Linked DNA regions of Schizosaccharomyces pombe. Changing the gene in region 1 together with any one later gene gives a genetic interaction. Each region holds a gene or a part of one and is shown in the gene's direction. Other genes may lie near its edges.

Region 1 (4,771 bases):
TATATTACGGCGCCAATCTCGCAGTCTGAGAGAGAACTAGATATCGGCTATATGCAATCTCACCCTGAATATCTAAGAAATTACCAGTAACTTGTGGGTTCCTTGTAGTCGACTACAAAAACCGTATTTTTGATATATTTAGTCGAGAAGAATTATTCAGTTTGCAATTGAAAATGTCTTTCAAAAAATTTCCTCGTCATTTACTATCCATTCGTGATCTTAGTCGCGGAGAGATTGTAAAGTTGATCGATCGGTCTTCTGAAATTAAACAAGCTTATAAGCAGAATTTTCAGAATCGCCGTTCTGTTCAAATGAGTGGTTTGTCGTCTCAGAATGTCGCCATGATCTTCAGTAAGCGTAGCACTCGTACTCGTGTATCAGTCGAAAGTGCTGTCAGTTGCCTTGGCGGCAATGCCATGTTTTTAGGTAAAGATGATATCCAATTAGGAGTGAATGAGTCTTTATACGATACTTCAAAAGTTATATCAAGTATGGTTTCTGGTATTGTTGCTCGCGTAAACAAATATTCAGATGTTGCTACGCTCGCTAAACATGCCTCTTGTCCTGTTATTAATGGTCTTTGTGACACGTTTCATCCTCTCCAGGCGTTAGCAGATTTACTCACTATTAAGGAAACTTTCAAAAGCTTTGACGGTTTAAAAGTTGCATGGGTAGGTGATGCCAATAACGTTTTACATGATTTGATGATTGCAAATGCCAAGGTTGGTATTCATACTAGCGTTGCTAAGCCCAAGGACGTCAACGTTCGCGACGATATTTTATCAATCGTTAACGAAGCTGCGAACGAAAACGGTTCTACTTTTGAAATTGTTAACGACCCCAAGGTTGCTGTTAAAAATGCTGATATCGTCGTTACCGACACTTGGATTTCTATGGGTCAAGAAGCTGAGAAGGAACAACGTCTTAAACAATTTACAGGATTCCAAGTCACCGGAGAGATCATGAAGCTTGCCAAACCTAGCTGCAAATTCATGCATTGTTTACCCCGTCATCCCGAGGAAGTGTCTGACGAGGTATTTTATGGAGAGAACAGTTTAGTTTTCCAAGAAGCAGAGAACCGCAAATGGACCACTGTTGCTGTCTTGGAGGCTTTGCTTGTCAACCGTGGTGAAATTCTTCCTCCTGCCTCAGCCTAAACTGAAATCCTTAATTTCATTTTTATCTGGGGAATGTGCAAACAATGCCAACTTTATAATTTTTTTTATTGGGCGTGCAAATTGTGATATTCATTTTTGAAATTTTATGTACTTTGTTTCACAAAAAGAAAATTGACTTTTGAGAAAATTTTTTAATTGACAATTACTTTTCAGATTTTTTATGCGCAGGACACAGGCTTCTAAAGACGTACTTATACGTTAAAAAAGGGGATGGATCAATTTGGCTCATTAGTCCAACAAGCTTTGTGTAAAATTATTACCCGCTTAATGCTATCCTCTTAACTAGATATTTCAAGGTATCAAGCAATCATAGTATTAAGCACTATTATATGCAAAATACAATTTAAAATTAATAGAAACTACAAATAAGCGCAACACTCATAAGGAAAAAGCTTTGGGACAATAAAGCTTTCGTCAATGCGGAATCTACGACAGAAAGAAAACTTAGTGTAGGCATCGAAATTTATTATATTTCAAGCATGTATGCTAGTAAAATAAAACGTAAACTCATTGATTCAAGAAATCTATAGAAAAAAAAGATCTGGGCAAGTAGAGTGTGCATCATCGAAATCCGGCTTCTTTCATAAACTTATCGTATTGCTCTTTAAGTGCTTTGCTTTTATCAATAAATGGCTTTTTCTTGTCTTCCGCCAATTCCTTCCACGCCTTTGATGCATTTTGGGTCTCTTCAACGAGTGTGGAAATGGCTTCTGGAATACCTAACTCTTGACGTAGCTTGGGATTGTTTCGAAGCTCCTTGTAAAAGAGGATAAAAGCAGAAGAAGGTTTTTTAGGAACATCTGGATGACGAAGTCTGTAATAGCGACTGCCCGTGCTGTGAGCCTCCTTCGAGCGACGACGATTTTCACTATCGATTTCTGTAGGTGTAAAGGATCGTAGAGTCTCCATAAAACGCTTTTTCTCAGCATCGAACTGCTCCTGGAGTTTGTTTTTATACTTTTGGATCTCATCGGCAGTCAAAGCTTTGTATTTTTGACGAATCATCTCAAAGCGCTCAGGACCATTACCAGCACCTTTTGTTTCAACCAACATTTGATTCCAAATGGTTTTCAGCCTAGGGGGGATCAACTTCTGTAATCCATTCTTTTCGGCAGAAACGAGAGTAGTGTGAAACTGGCGTATTCTAATTGCAAATACCATTTTGTGAAAAATGATCAAAGATAATGGTGCTTGGTAAGTTAGGTAAGGAGGCATTGCGTCAAACAGACGCATTCAAGTACTGAGTAAATATCGGGTACGTAATATTGTACAACAGACAAATGAGTAGTAAAAAGACGGTTTACTCAATTTTTAATAGCATAGAATAAAGGCGTTAAAAGCAGTTTGTTTGTTTCTTGTAACCACAAAGGTAGTTTCTTTTTCTAAGTGAAACACTTCGACATTCAACATAACAAAGCGTTGGTCCACAGAATCAAAAAGGTACTCCAAAATGAAAAGGAAACAAACGCATCTTCATCTCTTGAGCAACAAAACAGCACTCATTTCTATACTTTTTCCAACCTTCCTTATATACCGTACCTCCCAGCACTCTCATATTCATTACTCACCATAGACTATATTGTAGCTGTGTATTTAGTATAAAAATGTTTCAGTGGAATCGTTGCTATTCACTATTCATTACAGTGTATTCTTTCAGCACGTTATTTTAATTTAATAAACCGAAATAACATGCCCCGGTTCTTCTTTTGTCATATTGGCATCTTGGGTTACTGAAGAGATGGGGTATACGTTGCTTCAATCTCATTAGTTCTAGAGCCCCTCTATACCCCGATTTCTAAACGTCAATCCAACTTAGTTTTAAGGCTGTCGGCCTAATTTAAAGTTCCTTTCTACAGCTACAAAATTTGTATTAAAGGGACGAGAAGCCCCCGGGTATTTGTTTGTTTTTAATAACATCTAGTGTGTATTAACTTTTCTTGGCTGTGTTTAACCAAGTCGTAAGTGTCTGCATTTTTTCGGTATTTCTTGCCGCTTACCACAAACTATAGTACCTTTGAAAAGTTGGCTGTTTTCCAGTAAATTTGCATCGCTTTGTCCGAGAAAGGAGCCTTTTAGCGCCATTTTGACAAAGCTTGTTTAAAACATCTCGTTCGATTACCACCAACGTGTGATTTTGTGATTGTACCCAAACTTTGAAATCCTCACAAATAATTCGATAACTATGACTGTTACTCCCATTAATCCTACTAATCAGCCATACAAATATGTATTTGTAGTCATCGGCCCTGCCGGTTCAGGAAAAACGACGATGGCTAAGGCGGTATCTGAGAAATTGGGTTTTGAGTATATTGAGGGTGATGATCTACACCCCAAAGCAAACATTGAAAAAATGAGTCAAGGCCATCCTTTGAATGATAACGATCGTTGGGGTTGGTTGCATAACTGCGGAGGTGCTTGTGCCATGGAACTTGACAAGGAATCGATAAAGGGAGTTGTGTTAACCTGCTCGGCCTTAAAGCGTAGTTACCGTGATATCCTTCGTAGCTCTTTGGAGCATCGTCCTGCAATTTTGCGCTTTATTTATTTAGCCGCTTCGAGAGAAACACTTATTAAAAGAACGACTAGTCGCAAAAATCATTACATGAAGGCTGACATGGTTGAAAGTCAATTGGCAATCCTTGAGGCTCCTACCGCTGATGAAAAGGATGTTATTACCATTAGCGTTGAGAATGGAAAAGAACAGTCAGAAGAAGAATGTCTTGATATCGTCCACAAAATGGTTAATGAAAACAAGCAACCTTAATGAGTCTTCTGCTTCTAAAATATTTGCACGCTCAGCTCACGTGTCTCTGTTTGTTTATTGTTACTACTTGATACGTTTTTGTAGTCTTTTGTTATTAAAAAAAAATTCAGAAAGTTCCTTGAAACGAAATGTTGTCGGCTTTTTCTTCATTTTTTTATTTTACTTTATAGTTAGCCCGGCTTTCTGTTTTAACTAGCAATATTCAAGGCATTTACCTTCTTTTCTGTCGTTTCTGCTGCAATGTATCACTGAAAAATAGGCAAACCAAAAATCAGCTCTGTTTATTAAACGTAACTTTTTGCTCTCTTTAAACTTACTATGCTTTTCTAATGCTTATTTTCTGAGAATTATAGAACTCCAACTTCTTATAGTACGTATATCGACCAGAAATAAAAAAATAAAAGAAAGAATGTATTATCATTAAAACTCACATCATGAACGAATAATGAGGATGTTATTCATCACTCATGCTCATCCCTTCTTCTCCATAAGGTTATTTCAGATTGTTTAAAATATCTCCTTTGATCCTCATCCACCAAAATTAGACTCAAATAATATCTCACACTAAATTTTTTATTAACGTCTCGAAATGTTGGTGTTAAAGCGTAGCCATTCAAAAACATCCGTAAAGGAATTGTTTCCCCACGATTAGGATTACCATCCATAATTTGAAATCTGGTAATCGTTTCACTGTTACTGTACTGGTTTGGTGATGTCCCGATCGTTTCACGCCGTATGATACTGACTTCCATCCGCTGAACCTTGATGCGTACAAGGATAAAGTAGATTTTCCCAATAATAACATCTTTTAAATGATATTTGTTTTTGC
Region 2 (6,738 bases), 1.9 Mb from region 1:
GGTGTCGCTGGTACCACTGGAGCTGATGAAGACGTATATCATGAATACGCCAAAACGGTTGCAGCGCCTACTAAGAAAAGACCAGTGAAACCTGTGAAAAAGTTGGTTACGTTTTAAAAGGGTTTTGGAAAGGTAAACGGGGAAAGGAATTGGACTAGACCAGAAGGCAAGCCATGGTATAGTAACTGTAACAGATAATCAGCTTTTGGTACGTTTTCGATTACATATGCGAATTTTGAAGTTGATGTGTATGAAAAATAATTAATATTTTATAATAAATTGAAAAAATTAAAGAAATAATAGAAAAGAGAAGAGTAAAAAGCAAAATATTTTTGCTGTCTTGTTGTGTTGGGACAATATAGCTAGCTGACACTTTTAATGTAATCCTACAAATCCGAATACCAAAAACAATATATTCTTAGCAAAAATTCAAAGCGTTAATTTTTTAATTGCTTATATTAAAATGAATTAACAAACAATACATGTAATCAATTAGATATTAGATATCTGACCATTAAATTTCTATTTGTAATTTGGTTTCGACAACTCGACTCATTTCATACAAATTATTACCTTAATGTATATGTGCGATACTCTCTCTCTACGTAGGGAATCATGGAAACCCCTACTCAACTCGTAATACTGGCAGGCTGCGATTGCCAGCTGAGAAAACAAATGCCGAAATATAGATCATGGATTTCATTGCACGTGATATGCGGTATCACTTGACAGAAGACAATGCAAATCCCGTTTCAAGGGTCCATTCATGGATGTAAAAATACATTTACTGACTAATGATCGCCCCCTCTCTATACTGTAATCCTTATCCACCCAAAGTGACACACCGTTATGTGACTGACAGTTGCAAGAAGGATTATCCAGCAGTGGACTTTTACAGCGACTTTTTGGTTCTTTGTGTATATGGTATATGCCTGCAATATGCCTAACTATACATGAATTGCGAATTAATCGAACTTAAATGTGAATTAATCGGAATTGTGAATTTACAAGAGTGCATAAAGTTTTTATATGAATTTCGTAAAATTAAAAATAATAATAATAATAGTAAAATAAAAATAAAATAAATAAAATAAAATAAAATAAAGAATGGACCTTGAGCTGGAAAATAGGTATTAATTATAATGAAAGGATTTAACATGGATTAACAAACTGGTACTGAGATTGGTAAACAATGCGTTAATATAGGAGCTAACCCAAGAAGTATGCAATGTTAACGAAAAGACGGAAGTAAGTACTTGATATGCGTTTGACTCATATGTAAATCGTAAAAAAAATTTTTTTATTTTGAATAAGCCTTTTCATCGATTTCAAGTCAAGTTTTCAATCCACTTTCTTGCCTCGCTGATCGATCGTTCAGTAGCATTTGTTATACGGGTGATACTGTACGATAGCTTCAAGTACGTTGCTTATTCCTGTACTATGTTGCAATTCCTTACGATCCTTTAAATTGAATTGTGAGCCCAATGTTGGCCATACGATGGGATATCCATTGGTAATCCGCCTATTGTACGCCAAGTGTTAGGCAATCTAGCGCAACTCTCGCTAAAGAATAGTCATTAGTGAATTGAGGACATTGTTTTATCTGCTTACGTTAGCGAGAGATGAGTTTTTCTGGCGATGTGTGATCAATACACTGCCGCCCCATCGTCGTTGGATCGCATGTCCATTTGCTATTGTGATGGATTCTTACACAGCGATATACTCCCATGCAGAAAAATGAAGCATGGCACTTGAAAACACCGGGCTCGGAATCGCTGTTGGGCCGATCGGCCATTTCTAAATTGTGAATAATCGTTCAACAATTTGTTTGTAAATAGATGGAATTCACTGAACGGGGAAGATGTCTCTTGTAATGTGTATACAGGCGCACTTCTGTCCGCCCATTTCGTAGACAACGCAATGACTTAAAATATTGTACAATAGTATACAATGAAAATAACCTCATAGAACAGTATACAAACTTAGTAATTGATCCCAATAATAATCTCTTTACTCCAGTCTGTCCTACTACACTCGATATTTCACAGCCCAGTAATCCCCAGCATTTGCCACTACCGTCGCTATAGCGGTTTAACGGCAATATATCCTTATAACGGTTAATGCATTTTTCCATCGAGATATCTGATATAGTAATCCTGTTACTTCAACGCAGATCATTCGTCGATCATATGGGAATGGGTAAATGGGTCAAAGGGGTCCCAAAATACAAATTCCGATCGTTTGACGTATTCCACCACATCGAATCCAGAAAGTAAAGAACATCAAGGTCTTGCTGGTTTTTTCGTAGACTTCTTTACATTACAGACTATATTGTTTCTGTCGATTTGCTCCTTCCATTGAGTCTATATTAGTTCCCCTAAAAAAATTTTAGCTAAAGCGGGGTCGGCCGGCAAAGCTGTAATTCGTTATCTGGAGAAAATTGTTACTCGCCCCGTATTGAGATTACCAACAAAGTTTTAGGTAACATTACGCCGATCACCGTTAAAAAAGCTTTGCCATCTCTCACGTTTATATAAAGATATTTACCGGATTTCCCCGTTTACCACTCCTACTGTATAACAACAACACCACTAGGTAAATTGCAAATCAAGGAATCCACCAAGTTTCCAGTGGTATTTTCCCAATTATTTGTAATATTTTCTTATATTTTCGTGTTATCCTTTCTCTGGCAGCATCATTTGACCAACAACTGAATTGTAGCTTGGTTCTCTTGGTTTATCCTGTTTGCCCTTTCGAGTCCACTCGTTTGGCATACGGATATCTTAATTTTCTTTGTTTCCTGCCTTTTTCACGTTCTGGTATTTTGGAAGGTAGCGGTTTATTGGATTTATCTTCGAGGAAAGAGAGTGCTGTAAAAATTGTCGGCTTGTGGAGAGCAAACAAATTACTTTTCGTTCCCTTTGTTGCTGCATCTCATTTTAATTTTTCTGTATTCTCCTAGTTTTTTTATTTGTGTTTCTTGGTTCGTTGGAATTTGGTCACGTGGAAACGATTGACCATATTTTTTTTGTCCTAGAGCGCCTTTGAGTTGGTTTTTCTAGTTTTTTCACTCTTTCCTTCCTCTTCGTAAAGGTTGTAGGAAGTTTTTGTTTTTTCTTTGCTTTGTTTGTTTGTTCCGCTCACTCATTTCCGCTATTTATTATAAAAAAAACCCCCAAAAAAAAATTTACTGTAGGGTTAATCAGTCGATCAATTGCTTTTTTATTCTTACATTGATCATCCTTGGATCCCGTTATTCTTTTGTCTCTTGCATTGCCTCTTTTAATTGTTCTTGCTTTGGCTAAACTGAGATATTCTTTTACTTCGTAGGATAGCAATTCTGTGTCAATCAAATATCGGACACTTTCACCCCTCAAATATAGAGGACTTTCTCGTAATATCGTGTTCAATCTCACGACAGAAATTAAATATATTTAACCGAGTCTCATTATAACTCACTTTCTATCCAGTGACGCTTCTTTGCTACTCCGAATAGAACGATCTGACTTACTTTGGTTCAGTTCAATTTTTTCATTTCTTTAGGCTTTTGCTGTTTTTAAAAGTGATGAGCTCAGATAACACTCCTTCAATCAATAGACGTAATAACGAGAACCCTCCTCAATCTTCTCTTCCCACTACTTCTGGAATAGTATATAACATGTTTCCTGCTTGTCCATACCCACATGTGCAGAATCCTGCTTTTCATGGCTCGGTAGATGTTCCACAAGTAGCTCAAAAAGCTTTCGATCCTCAAGCTGCTACTGTTTCGGAATCTGCAAATGTATCTCGTCCAACACCGGCACCAGTTCCTCCTGCAGGTAATACTAACACCCCGACTACTTCAAATTCTAATCAAAATTTGGAGAACAATGTCACATCAGCCGCAAGCATGCCTGCTATCCTGAATGCTGCCGGTCAGTTAGAGTTTTCTCCTTCTACAAACAACGCACTTTGTTGTTGTACTACTGTTCACGGCCATCCTCATATGCCTCCAAACCTCTTGGCAGCATCAAGCGCTCGACTTAGACTTCCTCCCATTTCTACTATTTTAGGTGGGACATTCGCCGACCCGACTTTCTTGGCAGCAGCAGCAGCTGCTGCCGTCCCGCATTATGCTCACGCGACTACAGGCTCGGCGACTGATGCTTCTAACACTAGTAATGGAAACTCTAATCCGGCTGCTGTTCCTGCTGGATTTTTGTCTGGTTACTCCCCTCTTTCCTATGCATATTTTGTTGCAAAGGCTAACGAACTGGCGCTTGCTAATCAAAGGCAATCTTCTGAAGCTGCAGAGCAGCCTAGTTCCAAGAACAATACCTCAGGCGCAAATCCTCCGTCTTCTAATAATCAAGAAGTTACATCTGCTCCTATTCCTGCCGCTCCCATAGTACTTCCTTTTCAACAGCCATTTTATCCAATTGTATGTCCTGGATGTGCTCAGGGTGCACTGCCCCAGCACATCCCTGTTCCGCATAATACAGAATTTGCACAGTATCAACCCAGCTCCCGAGATCTTCAAAATCATCCCACAGTCGATGAATCACGTCTTTCATCGGTTGCTCCTCCTGCAAGTAATACTTTAAATCATGCAAATGGTAATCAAGCCGAAAACGCTTCCGAAAGCTCAACCTCGCAATCAAATGATTCTCAAGGCCCGGCAAACACCTCTTATCCAGTCTCGGTTCCGCTTCCTAATGACGCTGAAAACAATCACACTTTATCCAGAAATCCATATATTCCTTCTTTAAATTTCAAGGATAACATGAGCGCGGAACTTAGTGTTGTTGCTACTTTGGCTAGCAACAGCGCGCAGGCTCATCCAATGGGTCAGCAATCTGATTCAAATTATTCTGATCATCACAACAACGATAAGAGAGCTCATGTATCGCGGCGACATTCAACTTCACGCAAAATTGCACAATCCCATACCGGTTCTTCGTCTACCTCTTCCGCTGCCAACGTTCGATATAGATGTACGGAATGTTTACAAGGATTTTCTAGGCCTTCTAGTCTAAAAATTCATACATATTCCCATACAGGAGAAAGGCCGTTTGTCTGCGATTACGCTGGATGTGGAAAGGCGTTCAATGTACGCAGTAATATGCGGCGACATCAACGCATTCATGGTTTGTAGCCAATTTTAACCTGTCTGATAGCAATTATTAGCCGTTACTTGAAAGCCATTTATTGCGACTACTACAACTTCTGACGATATTAATTTCATGATATATAAAAATTTATTGAATAAAACCACATAGCAGTTGGCTGCCCGCACCCTTAAAGAATATATAGCATTACCTTCCGTTCCTTTTCTTTTACGTTTTGTTATCGCGCGTTTACTAGAGTTTAGTTTAAAATAATTTTTTTGATTACAGTTTGCGTGTCACGTTTCTCATTTCCGTTTAACCTACCTAGCTTTAACATATGCTTAAAGTCTCATTTTATTATGATTCGAAGAATCTATTTTGAGCTTTCTACTTCCGAAATGTTCTTTCATTGTTAGCTAATTTATTACCCTTAAAAAGTTTTCTATCGTACAAATATGTGTTTACTAGCGAACTCAAGATATCAATCAATTAAGTCCATTCGAAAGATCTGGCAACGAACGACATATTAAGTGGATAAAAAGGAATTTCTGATGAATCCTATTACAGTAACTATTGAATATGCAGATATAATAATAACAAAATTTTTTATTATTCGTAACTTGAAATGCATCGCATTTCAACATCAGTTGAAAGGATGCTCATAAACTAAAATGATACGTAAAAATCGGTCGTTGGAATAAGAGATATTTTTATAAAAGTTTAGAAAAGTCGCGAGTTTGGAGAAGGATGGAATATGGACTAACTTTTCCCTTATCCCAATCCACAAGGCAAGGTCGTCGAAACAATTGATTATCATGCTGGTACTTTGTCAAAGCATCTTCAATAGACGTAGCACCTGCGACAAGTAAATCACTTTTATCTTTACCAATGTTAGAGAGCATGATATTCAATTGGTCAAGGGTTGGGGTAGCTGTTTCGACCTGTAATTTAAAATGAAGCATTTGATTATCCGTTTTTTCACCTGCAATCATATACTCTGTTAATTTTTGCTCAACTAGCGTCTGTCGCTTTTTGGTAAACAGTGTCAATATTCTTTTCGTGGTCAGACCAAACATTTTAGGAGAAACACAGCTGAAATTCACTAATAATCAAAATTATTTATTATTTCAAATTTTAGACACCAGAGTCAAATAATTGCCGAAGGAACAAAGTGGTATAAATGCACTATGCTCAACTCTTTAGTAGTGATTTGGAGTAATTTAAATTTTGTAATCAAATACTTTTTATTCTAAAATAAACTTTCAAAATAAAGGTTTTTGCAAATTTCTTGTAAAAAATTGAATTGAGGTAAGTGGAATATCATGGTATATGTATAACGTATATACATGGCAAACTATGGAAATACGGTATGGCGAATAACGGATGAGCGTGAAGTAAGGAATGGGTTTTAACAAACGAATGTTGAAATTCTAAATCAAGGACCAATTTTAAGTACTTTTACATTTATCTTGTTCGTCAGTTTCATCTTCTGTTTCACTACGAAAGGAGAAGAGTGTTTTCAATTCGTCACGATACCAAGCAGTTAGTAATGGAGCGACAATACAGGCAGGACTGAGATAAAGCAAAGCTGGCTGTGCTGCTTTAAAGTAATATAATGCAAAATTTGTAACTCCAAGGCCAAGCCCATAAG
Region 3 (6,292 bases), on another chromosome or scaffold:
ACCATAATTTTTAAAAAAAGCGTCCTTATACTTTAGATAACAAACTTCTGGAGCATTGAATAGAATGATTGAAGTGAATGATATTAGCAGTATTATCAACAAAGGGGAAGAATTATCTGTCGTCCCATAAGAATGGTTTTCTCTATGTGTGTTAGGAGGATTATTTACAAGTGCATGATCTGTTTAAATTAATATAATGAAATACTTTAGTAAAGAAAGAGCATGTATCAAATTGTGTGCATTGCATGGCCGACTGTAAACAATGACCAAAGCATGCAATTTGACAAGATGGCAAGTTTCAACTTTCCATTGAGTAATTCCTTTCTTATTATTTACAATTCTTACCTGAATATGGAGGCAATGTACTTTCCTCCTCTGAATCATATTCTGGGAGGGGTCCTTTTTCCAAATCGATTTCATGATCTGTCTTCAATTCATCTTCTTCATCTAGAGGACTTTTCAAAGAAGTGTAATTATTCTTCATAATAATAAAATCATTCTTTATTTAATAAAATACATGCGCGAATTAATTGCTATGATTGCGACAAACCAAACAGCGAAATCAAGAATATTCACTTTGTAGTCCAATTCCAATCGCTTTAAAGACTTTTTAACAAAATAATAAAATCGTTCAAACAAATTTCCAACTAATTCCTTCAAACAATGGCATAAAAAAAGAAGAACGAAAAAACTGAACGAGGCAGTGAATTGCTTCTGACACATTTATTCTGTCACTGCCTTTTTTATTCACCCCAACTTAGCTTTCCTTAAACGTTTTTGAGAAACAAACCCATCATTTATCAGTATAGACGTTTACTGCGACTTTTGAAACTGAATAGTGCGTGCAAGTGTCGCTTCGTTATCAGGAGTACGTCCGGCGTCGTACTATTTAATATTATGCATTTCAGTATTTAGCAACCACCAAATTCCATATCCCCGCGGTACTAGGGGAAAGTAGTAGGAGATCACTAAGTGTTTGACCAAGAATTCAAGGGAGGGGTTTTCTTCACAACCCATGGAAGAAAACAACATGGTGACAGGAATGAATAATTTGCATCAATATCAAAAATTGTAAGCCTAAATTTATCTTTACAAATTTCACGTACATAGACTGTTTTAGCTCCTCTGTCCATTTCAGTACAGTTACCGCATCTCGAACGAAATGTACCGAACTCATTAACATACGAATACTATCGTTATGATGGAATAGGGGAGATAAGAGAAAAAGCTTAGTAGAGAAAAAAGAGGATGGAAGAGGAACGCCATGCAAAACAGTAAATACATGCTTTTACTAGACTGACTTAGGGATATGCAAAACGTACGTTAAAAAAGAAGGCTCTGTTAATTTCCAATTTCGTAAATTTTGGCTAATAAGCAAAACAACGCCTTTTACTCCAAACTTCTAGATTTCCTGCCCCAACTTTGTGCCCTTCGGCTTCTACCCTAGCTGACCTTTTTTTCCTTTTGCTAAGACAACCATTTGGGAAGCCACAACGAAGCCCTAATTTTCCTTTAACGAGGTATGCTCCATCTCCTTATTGCCGAGATCTCTCCCCCTCTTCATACAAAGGCAAAATTCCTCTGCCAGACATGTCCAGAAGCATACGTAAGGTAAGGAGACTGAGAAAAAGAATGGATCTAGTAGGAAGAATATGAGGAATGCATTTCCAGGTTCTGAGAACGGGCTTAGATGTGCAATGACAGAGATGCGAAATGGAAGTGTAAATTTATTAAAGTCCTTTGTATCTCTTACACTACCCAAGTTTTAATGTACATGGTTTTATGTTGCCTATATCAGTGTGTAATAAAGTATATCACAGCAAATCCCTCCTTGTGTAAATTATAACAAGCGTAACTGTAACGTGCTTTGGTCCTACTGCGCTATTTTTTTAACGCTACGCTGTGCGCCCGCCTGCCTTGCTCTGCCATGCTTCTACTCTAATTCCTACTTTTTCCGAGATCCCCCGCTTCCCCCCTTCAAACTTTACTCGTTTCCCATAAACCTTATGCGAGGAAAATCTTCAGTGCTGATTGATGGATGATCGAATGTTTTGAAGATTTGCATTACCCGAGTAACCCCCTTTTCGTCGAACTCTCATATTCATTGGCACCTGCGTTTCGGTTCCCCTCTCCTTGGTCCGGGGTCTGTCTGACTAGCCACTAAGGTCCTTACTCTCAGTTGCCCAGTTGGCTAGGCTACTGCTACATTGACGTAGTAGAGCCGAAAGTGTAAAAGAGCATTTCATGCATCGTGCAATGCACATCATTGGAAGCGGTAGGAATTGTGGGCGTGGTAACCAGCAAAGCTTAAATACTAAAGTCTAAAGTTTGCTCACACACCTTGTCATACCTGGGCCACACGTTCGAGAGCTTGTCGCCCCGCCTCACCCCGGGCAGTCCCGCATCTTAAAAGGAAGTTTGGCTTGGGTTTGTTTTGTTTACACCTTGTCCCATGTTTGCGGAGACGTTAGGTTGATAGATGCATTAAGGTCTTTCCAATCGTGTCTGATGTCACGAGCATTGCTTCAAGTTGTATATATACAAGAGTATGGTCCCTCTTCTGAACCCCCAGCAACCTTGGTTTGTAAAACATACTCGCTTTTGATTCGTCGTGTGGAGTTTAGGTAGGTGGTTGGCGAATTTTTTCGTTTCGCTTATTGTTGGGCCGGGGATTTTTGAAAAAAGGGCAGGGTAAGGCAGGGCAGTGAGTAGTGGGTAGTGAGTAATGGTGCTAGTTAAGGGTAGACGCAAAGTGAATCATCAAAGGATATTCAACTCAATTGTCAATAATAATTACCTGAAATATCACCTTTTTCTCCTCTCCTCCCCCTCCTGTTCTCTCCTTTTCTTCTTTTCTCTTTCTTTCTGTCTTTTATCTTTGCTCTTTTCTAACACAATTTAGTATATCTATCTCGTAGATAACAAGACAATTTCCTTCGAATTTAAACTATCATCGCAAATTGACCTTTTGAAAAAATCTCATTGGATTTCCTTTAAATCATTTCATTTGTTTAATTTTTTTTTCTTTCACCCAAAAGAAAAAATATTTTCAATCTTACTTTCACTACTAATCTCGCCTTTTGTCTCAGACACTTTTTTTCCACTTTCTTTCCAACTTTTTTAAACAAAAATGCTATCCATCATTGTTTTCGGTGCATCCGGCGATCTCGCTACCAAAATGACTTTCCCGGCCTTGTTTGCCCTTTACGTCCGCAAAATTATTCCCGAGGACTTTCAAATCATCGGCTATGCCCGTTCCAAATTGTCCCAAGAGGCCGCTAACAAAATCGTCACCGCCCATATTCCCATTGACGATACTGTCGGTGCTTCTCAAAAGGCCTTAAACACCTTTGTCGAGCATTACAAGTATGTCCCCGGTACTTATGATAAGCCCGAGTCTTTTGAGATGCTAAACAGCATTATTGCTGAAAAGGAGACTGCTCCCGCCTCCGAATGCACACGTATCTTTTACTTGGTTCTGCCTCCTCATCTCTTTGCTCCCGTTTCCGAGCTAATCAAGAGTAAGGCTCATCCCAATGGTATGGTCACTCGTCTTATTGTTGAGAAGCCCATCGGCTTCGACTACAAGTCTGCCGATGCCATTCTCAGCGATCTCAGCAAGCACTGGTCTGCCAAGGATACTTTCAAAGTCGACCATTTCCTTGGCGAGGATATGATTGATGGATTCACTGCAATTCGCTTTGCAAACTCCATGTTCGAGCCCATCTGGAATCGTGAACACATTGAAAGTGTTCGTGTCGACTTTCGTGAAGACTTTGGTTGTGAGGGACGTGGAGGTTATTTTGAGGGCGCTGGTATCCTTCGCGATGTCGTTCAAAATCATCTTTTGCAACTACTTACCTTACTTTGCATCGAAGAGCCAAAGTCTCAAGATGCCGAAGATATCATCAAATGCAAGGTTGACTTCTTGAAATCCCTTCATCCCGTTTCCAAGGAGGACATCGTCTATGGACAGTACACTAAAAGTGCAAATGGAAAGGTCCCCGGTTATCGTGAACTGGATGGTGTTGCTGATGACAGTGAAGTTTCTACATTCTGTGCTCTTCAACTTCGCTCTGAAGCACCTCGTTGGAAGGGTATTCCCATCATCATTTCTGCCGGTAAAGGTTTGGACCGCGATTACTTTGAAGCTCGTATCACTTTTAAGCGTAGGGAAGGAGGTATGTTCCCTACCGTTGATAGCAGCAATGTTCTAGTCCTTCGTGTTTATCCCAAGGAATTCATTGCCCTCAAGGGACACATTAAACAACCTGGTTTCTCTCGTCAAATTGTTCCTGTGACTTTGGACGTTAAGTATCCCGAAGCTTTCCCTGATACATGGATCCATAAGGCCTATGAAGTGGTTATTGCCGATGCCATTAATGGAAAGCATACACACTTTATTAGTGATGATGAGGTTCGTACCTCTTGGAAAATCTTTGATGATGTCCTTGACACTACAGGCGATTTGTCACCTCTTCCTTATGCTTTTGGTTCCCACCATGGTCCAGATGCCACACTCGAATTTTTCAAGAAGCGTAATTTAGAGTGGGATTAAATCAAAGGAAACCATATCAAGTCTTTTGAACCACCATATTTTTTTTAATACACGGGTTTGTATATTTGTTAAGCTAATGAGCAAACTTCATATATGACATCCTTTCGCTTTGCCTTTTCCCTTTTTCAACTTTTTTTTTTATAAAACCATTTTTCTTATTTAGCTTTACGCTCAATTTAATAATCTAATTTTATGTGACAACGAACATCATCCATAAATATTAAGCCTCTTTTCTTACAAAACTTTGTAGTACATAGTAACGAGATGTGAGTATTATTTTTATTCATCGAAAAAATAAAAACGCTTCAAACATTTTGAGTCAATATAAAAGTATCACATTGCGTTGTAAATTAAATTATAGCTCTCTTGCTTAGTGCTTAACGTTTGAAGAAATGTGTATTTACTGAATCGTATACAAATTTTTTTGACATTATTTTAACTTTTTATTGAATAGAGTTGATAGTGTTCCAACCATTATTAAATTGTATTATTGTATTATTACAAAATATCTGTAAAATAAATAAGATTACCTATACATCGTCTTTAAAAATGACCATGCTAGATAATGCCCGTAACCGTTTTCCACCAAACCAAAGTAAAGAACATGTAATTATGGAGGATCCCAATACACTTTATCTACTGTTAGTAAAAATTGATAAAAAGAGAGATGATCCATCAAAAAACATACATAAATGCCAAAAGAGAGTTACCCCATCCATATCCCAAGGTATCATACATGTCCTGGCCAAAAAGAGGGAATGCAAAAGCAGCAATCGATCGAACACAACAGGCAACTGCTGTCGACGATGCTGCATAAATCATAAAAGAATCAATTAAATAAGTTTGGATACCACGCCAGCCTAACATCAAACCTATATTAAACATGGCTGCGCCAATATCTGGACCAATCCAGTGAGTGTGATACTGCGCAGTCCAACCATAAATAAACAAGCCAGCTGGAAAGAAAAAAGTTCCCAATAAAATTACGGGGACTCGAAATTCAGGTGCCATCTTTCCATTGTTTCTACGTTTTAGGTATCGAAACGTTTTATCAATAAATATACCAGATGCTTGACTGCCAAAGATAAGGCCTATCCCCGAAGCAATGTAGTTTAGGCCAGCGATGGAAGGTCGTTCATGATACTCTTCGGTCCACAATGTGGGGTATGTAGTTAAAACAAGATAGAGAATACCTATAACGGTAAGTTGAGGTGTTTCATTGAAGAAAGTATAACTATTTTACCTACCATATTGAATAGCCATATACGTAGAACATAGTATCACGATAGGTTGGGTGAAAAGCATTCGTATTGGTCTCATTAAAGCTGGAGTGACAAGTTTAAGCCTAGGGATATGCTCGAGATTCCACTCAGTATGATACTTATTTGTCTTTTCAGACTTGTTGAGCTTTCGAGCTTTTTCTCCCAGCAGAGTTTTGGGATATGTTTCTGCAAGCAAGGGCAGAGAAAGGGCAAATATAAAGCCACTGAAGATGGTTGTAGACCAAAAGATCCACTTGTAAGTTGTATATTCTGCAATGAATCCGCTAACGACAGGGCCAATAGTAGGACCCAATAGAGGAGCAAGGGACATCACTGCAACGGCCTTTCCTCTCTCGTCAGGAGTGAACAGATCACTGATACTGAATAAAGAAAACGTTAGTCATTTCATCTTTTAAGGGAAAAAATATATATACTTACGTTCCACTACCGAGACCCATTGGAGTGGCACTAC

Evidence for each region.
Region 2: of idn1 (region 1) and loz1, changing one enhances a phenotype caused by changing the other (phenotypic enhancement), as found in Schizosaccharomyces pombe (one study listed by BioGRID).
Region 3: of idn1 (region 1) and gcd1, changing one suppresses a phenotype caused by changing the other (phenotypic suppression), as found in Schizosaccharomyces pombe (one study listed by BioGRID).

The regions. Positions count from the first base shown.
Region 1 is NC_003424.3:2,273,839-2,278,609, forward strand, and holds idn1 (gluconokinase), read left to right. Parts: upstream 1-3,031; 5' UTR 3,032-3,136; exon of another isoform or gene 3,137-3,187; 5' UTR 3,188-3,360; coding exon 3,361-3,942; 3' UTR 3,943-4,271; downstream 4,272-4,771. Other genes in the region: ornithine carbamoyltransferase Arg3, read left to right, coding at 174-1,157; cmb1 (cytosine-mismatch-binding protein 1), read right to left, coding at 1,740-2,339; retromer complex arrestin related endocytic adaptor ubunit Vps26, read right to left, coding at 4,404-4,771.
Region 2 is NC_003424.3:4,191,038-4,197,775, reverse strand, and holds loz1 (zf-C2H2 type transcription factor), read left to right. Parts: upstream 1-2,562; 5' UTR 2,563-3,565; coding exon 3,566-5,134; 3' UTR 5,135-5,706; downstream 5,707-6,738. Other genes in the region: SPOM_SPAC683.02C (zf-CCHC type zinc finger protein ), read left to right, coding at 1-117; SPOM_SPAC683.03 (uncharacterized protein), read right to left, coding at 1,817-2,134; SPOM_SPAC25B8.18 (electron carrier protein), read right to left, coding at 5,798-6,163; intramembrane aspartyl protease of the perinuclear ER membrane Ypf1, read right to left, coding at 6,536-6,738.
Region 3 is NC_003421.2:238,047-244,338, reverse strand, and holds gcd1 (glucose-6-phosphate 1-dehydrogenase), read left to right. Parts: upstream 1-2,570; 5' UTR 2,571-2,624; intron 2,625-2,902; 5' UTR 2,903-3,130; coding exon 3,131-4,558; 3' UTR 4,559-4,876; downstream 4,877-6,292. Other genes in the region: wtf antidote-like meiotic drive suppressor Wtf5, read right to left, coding at 1-179, 346-484; SPOM_SPCC1529.01 (transporter), read right to left, coding at 5,089-5,188, 5,247-5,751, 5,806-6,200, 6,259-6,292.